Linked DNA regions of Ovis aries. The protein of the gene in region 2 interacts with the protein of the main gene of each other region in a pairwise test. Links are inferred from orthologs where the notes say so. Each region holds a gene or a part of one and is shown on either strand. Other genes may lie near its edges.

Region 1 (2,861 bases), on a different chromosome or scaffold from region 2:
TGTATAGAATGGGTATAATAATAGATGGCACCTACCTAGAGATGACAGGGTAGTTGGAAGGATTAGATGTTTAGCTCCTTCTTCTGTCCGTGATAAAAGAGAAAGTGAAGTCACTCAGTCGTGTCCGACTCTTTGCGACCCCATAGACTGTAGCCTACCAGGCTCCTCCATCCATGGGATTTTCCAGGCAAGAGTACTGGAGTGGGTTGCCATTTCCTTCTCCAGAGGATCTTCCCAACCCAGGGATCAAACCTGGGTCTCCTGCATTGTAGGCAGACTCTTTACATCTGAGCCACCGGGGAAGTCACATATCTGCCTATGATAAGCAGTCACTAAATATTAACTGATAACCCCAGGGGAAGCAAGACCCAACAGACTGTAACCTTCACTCCAGCCACCTTCTTAATGAAGAGCACAAGCTCGAATAGGTTTATCTGGATCCACACATTTCCAGAGAACACTCGAGGGTTTACAGATCGTTTGTTATTCTCTGCCCTCTCAGCCTAGCTAAGCAGAGAGATGGAGATTATTTATTCCACATCACAGGGTTAACCCCTGTATTAGCACATTTGGGCTGCAGATTCAGTGTCCAGTGAAGCCTGCTTCCTGGTTTATAGATAGCTGTTTTCTAGCTGCATTTCAAATGGAGAAGGGGGCCAGGGAGTCTGTGTGGTCCCCTTTATAAGGGCACTAATCCCATTCATGAGGCCTCCACCCTCATGACCCAATCACTTCCCCAAGTCTCCACCTCCAAGTACTATAGCTTTCAACCATACAAACTTTGTGGTGAGACATAACCTTAAGTCTATAGCTCCCCACAACCAAGACAGTCAGGGCTGGGAGCTGCCCAAGCCCCTCCCCTTCCCTTGTTCCTACTCACCACTGCTGTGAAACTGAGTCTCTGCAGAAGGACTGGCCAAGTGAGTCACCAGTGTGGACAGAGAGGTGCTGGGAATAGTCCCTTATAACATTTATTACAAATCAACCTCTGCATCCCATCCTTTCACGAGAGCCACAGCATCCCGATTCCTGGTGTGCACCTGCCCTGTATACAACCTCCCTGCTTTTCCAAGACACTTGCCTGCGTCTCCTTAGACATCTGAAAATATGGCTACAAACAGCCCCACAGACTCAGCCCACTAGGGCAGCCACTCCAGAGGCACAGGCCCCTTGCTCTGCAAGTACCTGTGACATCGCCAGCTTCGACAGTCCCCTGTGACCTCACCCTCTGGGGAGCTCAGCCCAGCAGGGCCACGGCCACTCTCTCAACCAGCACAAGTAACAAAGGGCCTAGATGACCACCGTGCCCTCGGAAGAGGCCGGAGCCACCAGTGCCCCTCCGCATGGGGACAGCAGGTCTACAGACCTCCCAGCAGTGGGGTCCCAAAGTCAGGTCCCCCTCCTCACAGATGACCCAGCGTCTCTTGATGCTATAACATCAGCTGAACAGCAGGATGTAGTTCAGGTCTCCACTGAGCCAGCCACCTCGAGGACCACGTCAGAGTCTGGGGATGCAGATAGGCATGAAGCTGCCGAGGGGCAGGCCCAGGAGCCCAGGGAGGCCACAGCCCTGCCTGCTGACCCGGCCCCAGGTGCCCTGAAAAATTCCCTGGGCTTCCAGAATCTAGTGCAGAAAGGGCTGCTGCAAGATTCCAGCAGAACTCAGAATCCTCAGATTTTCCAAGTTAACTCCCTGGTTGAGGAAGTGAAACCACAAGCAGTGGCCACCCCAGACAGAGAGCAGGAGCCAGCAACAGCCACCCCAAGTGCCGAGGCACAGTCCCCCCAAAATGTGGAGGCTCAGCCCATCGTGAGCACCACAGACCCCAAGGACCAGCTTGACCCTGGGACTGCTGACACCCCTGAAGCTGTTGAGGAGAAGCTGGAGGGTCCTGAAGCCTTGAACCCTGACCCTGATGCTTCGCCATCAACCGCTGCCTCGCCGGGCCCTGGAGAGCTGGCCCTGGGGACAGGTCCCCTGGACTCCACGGCTGACGAAGAGAACAGCTACATGCGCTCCATGACCAGCTTGCTGGGCGGGGGCGAGGGGTCCATCAGCTCCCTGGCAGACATCCTGGTGTGGTCCGATGCTACCATGGGCCTAGCCACAGGCTTCCTGGCCACCGGCCGTGGCTCCGTGTCAGACCTGCTGCACACCCCAGGGCCCAGCCTGCGCTCTGTCTCCAGCATCCTGGGGAGAGCCAGCTCTGCCCTGTCCTCCAGGTTAGTGGTGAGGACCAGAGCGGCCCTGCACTCCATCACCCACGTGCTGGAATCAGTGGAGCGGAGGACTGTCGAGGGCATCCGTTCGGCCATGTGCTACCTGACCAACCATCTTACCCCACACTAGGCCCACGCCACCCCCTACTGGGACTGGACCCCATGTTCGGCAGCTTCCCGAGACCCGGGGGACACTCCTGCCCCCCCTTTCTCGCCCACTCCTGCTCTGGACAGCTCTCCCCAGACTGGGCAATAAATCACTGGCAAGCGTTTATTTTCCAAGCGCCGGCCTCCTCCCTTGTCTGTGCAGTGGGCTCAGGGTGGAGGGACAGGAGGGAGCTAGGGTGTTCTGGAAATGGAAAGGTGCCCCCCCTGAGGGCTTCTTAGCTTGTCCCACTCAGGAGCTGGGAGCCAAAGTGCAGAAAGAGACCTGCCTTGGGACTTTCCCGAGTGGTCCAGTGGCTAAGACTCTGAGCCTTCCAGTGCAGGGGGCACAGGTTCAATCCCCAGCATGGGAACTAAGATCCTGCATGCCACATGGCATGGACAATACAATTTTAAAAATTAAAATTAAAAAAAGAGAAAGAGAAGGGCCTGGGCAGGCCAGGGAGGCCAGGTGTGGGGAGCTGTGGGTGCTGTCA
Region 2 (2,724 bases):
CGTCCGCCAGAGCCTTGGCCACCTGGTAGGAACTCTCGATGACAGCCTGGCACTGCCAAGACACGGAGAGGTCAGCTGGGGGCAGAGCTCTCCAGCAGGGCTCCAGGGTCATGTCCAGAAGGCCTGAGGGTTAGTAACGGAGGAAGGCAAGGCTGGGCAGGCCTCGATGGCCTCAGGAGGAGACGCCACAGACAGGCTGGGGGCGTTAGTGCAGAGGCGGGGCTGGGCTCTGCGGGGGAGCGGGCACTGACAGGTGCTTCCCAGACATGAGCTCATGCCTCACGTTTTTCTCCAACCCCCAGACGGTCCTGGGGTCTCTGTTCTCCCTGGAGTCAGTCTGGACCATAAGAGACACTCGGACCTTCCCCCTGAGAGTGGGGCTGGGACAAAGGGGAGGCCTGCAGGGCATCTCAGGCCCTTGCCACTCTCACACAGCCACCCCTGCCCCTTCTCGGCCCGCACACCTGCTCAGGAATGTCCCACTGGAGTCGCTGAGGCGGGGGCAGCACAGGGTTGGGTTTGCCCAGACAGTGCCCCGTCTCTGTGTAGCCCAGATGGAAGGAGTCGGTGCCCAGGACAAACTGCAGGGGAAGGTCAGGCTGAGAGGCGGTCCTTGCGCTGCCACCCCACCCCAAGCCTGCGCTGCAGGGCCCCTCCCAGGGCCTGTTACCTCCCAGAGGTGCCCTATGATAGGGGCGTCTGCCCACGCGTGCTCTGTGTTGAGTCCCAGCTGGCCGTTCTTGAAAGAGATGAGTGTGAAGGACTTGTCGAACCACCTGCAGCGGGAGGAGAAGGGCAGCGGGGGAGGCGTGGGGAGCTCCGGGGCCCGCGAGCGGGGGAGCCGGGGCGTGTACCTGTTGTAGCAGTTGCCGTGCAACAGGGCCTTGCCGTAGAGGCTGAGGCTGGCCTCGTCCTCTGGGTCGTAGTGGTGAGACTCCTCGTCCAGAGCCACGAAGAACGCAGCGCGCTCGATGGCGTCCAGGGCAGCCTTGTTCTTGCCAGAGCTGAAGAAGGCCTGGCGTGCCTGCGCCCACTCCACTCTGAGGGCACAAGGGCAGAGTGAGCGGGGCCCCCTGCAGGATGAGAGCCCTGCCCAGGACCTGTGTCTGCAGTCTCTGCACACCCCCATCCAGCCAGCAGCAGTTAGAGGTCACAGCAGCGACTCCCTGTTGCTGCCACCGGTGTTCCTGACGATGGCAGGTCCTGGTCAACACCGGGCACACCGGGCCTACGTCCCTCCGTCAGGCCTCCTGCCTGAGCTCCAGGGTGGCACGTGGGACTGAACTCCTCTCCTCCTGGTGCCCCAGCGTGGGCCCCAATACCTTCCCCCTGCAGTGAGGGCCGCCAGCCTCTCCTCCCCAGGCTGGGGTGGGGAGGGGTCGTCCAGGATTCTCTGGAACTGCATCTCCAGGTCCCGAGGCTTGAGCAGGCGGGAGCCCTCGTAGAGCCACAGCTTGAAGAAGCGGCCCTTGTGGTAGACGGCCACGTGCCTGCTGTCCGGGAGGTGCTGGAGCACGTCTGTGGCGGAGGCCAGGGTGGGCTCAGGCAGAAGCAGGGCCCCCGCCCCACACGCCTCCCCGAAGGCCCCCGGCCCCACACCAGGCGGCCACGAGGGCCTCCGCCGGGCCTGCCTTCCGCCAACCTCTGGGCATCGAGCCAGAGCTTCCCCGTCTCTCACTTAATGCCAACCACAGTCCCATGAGGCATTTCACAGAAGAGGAACCTGGAGCTCTAGGAAATCACAGGCTGTGCTGGAGACAGAAATGCAGGCGCCGCTCTGGTGGCCCTGGGCAAGCCCGCCCTCCTGCTCTACAGGCCCCTCAAGGCAGGAGCCCTGTTAGGCTCCCTCCTGCTCTTGTGCAGGAGGCTCTTCCTGTGTGCCAGGAGCCCTGCAGGGAGGGGCTCCGTCCTGGCCTCTCAGGGCCCCAGCAGTAGCATCGTGCCTGTAAATAGTAGGTGTCTACTATCGGCCACAAACTGACTATATTTCGCAGTGTCACGACCCTAACATGCTGAGGATGCTCAGGGAGCAGCAGGCAGCAGGGCACTGGCGTGGTGGGCCCATGGCTGGCAGGGAGGGGCCTCCACCCAGGCCCCAGCACGGGCGCCTGGGTGCGACCCCATACCTGTGTCCTTCCCCGGGATGCGAGTGGTGTTGAACATCCTCTCCATCTGGTAGGAGCACATGGGCACAAGGCCCAGTGCCATCACCTGGGAGGAAGGCCCAGTACGGCTCAGATGGCGGCCCCTCTTCCGGTCACGCCCGCACCCCCAACACAACTCACAGGCTTGATCTCTTCACGGTCCAGTTTACGGCGATACGTGATCATGGCGTGGACAGCATTTCCCAGGCGGGCAGCCTGCACGTCTGTGTTCTTGACAAGCACGAGGTCCTGCAGGGAGACAGCAGAGCCTGCAGGGACGCCGTGGCGCGTGTGCACAGGGGGCCCTCTGTCTGGGGTGTCTCGGCCCCTTTCCGCAGTCCATCCTGCACACTCTCTGAGGCCAAGTACCAGAGGTGAAACACATGACTGGTCATGTCACCCCCTGCCCTGGCTTCCACCTGAGCTTCTTTTCCAAACCCCTTGGAGCTGTTGACATTTTATTTATTTTTCTTGGAGGAAGAGGTTCTGCCACCACAGAACAGCTTAAAACCTCTGGCCTAGACAAGCTGCACATAGGTTTCTAGAAAGATAGCTTTGTGGAGGAGGGGCATGGCAGCAC

What was found. The genes of interacting proteins can lie anywhere in the genome.
Region 1: the proteins of CPT1B (region 2) and TEX44 interact in binary tests that used the Homo sapiens proteins (3 or more experiments, as listed by UniProt). The two-hybrid records come from large-scale screens. The link is inferred for Ovis aries from reciprocal best matches to the Homo sapiens genes CPT1B and TEX44.

What each region holds. Positions count from the first base shown.
Region 1 is NC_056055.1:233,325,733-233,328,593, forward strand, and holds TEX44 (testis-expressed protein 44), read left to right. Parts: upstream 1-1,294; coding exon 1,295-2,350; downstream 2,351-2,861.
Region 2 is NC_056056.1:225,818,022-225,820,745, forward strand, and holds part of CPT1B (carnitine O-palmitoyltransferase 1, muscle isoform), read right to left. Parts: intron 2,394-2,724; coding exon 2,286-2,393; intron 2,212-2,285; coding exon 2,127-2,211; intron 1,519-2,126; coding exon 1,323-1,518; intron 1,041-1,322; coding exon 855-1,040; intron 777-854; coding exon 671-776; intron 582-670; coding exon 465-581; intron 53-464; coding exon 1-52. UniProt on the Homo sapiens protein: Catalyzes the transfer of the acyl group of long-chain fatty acid-CoA conjugates onto carnitine, an essential step for the mitochondrial uptake of long-chain fatty acids and their subsequent beta-oxidation in the mitochondrion.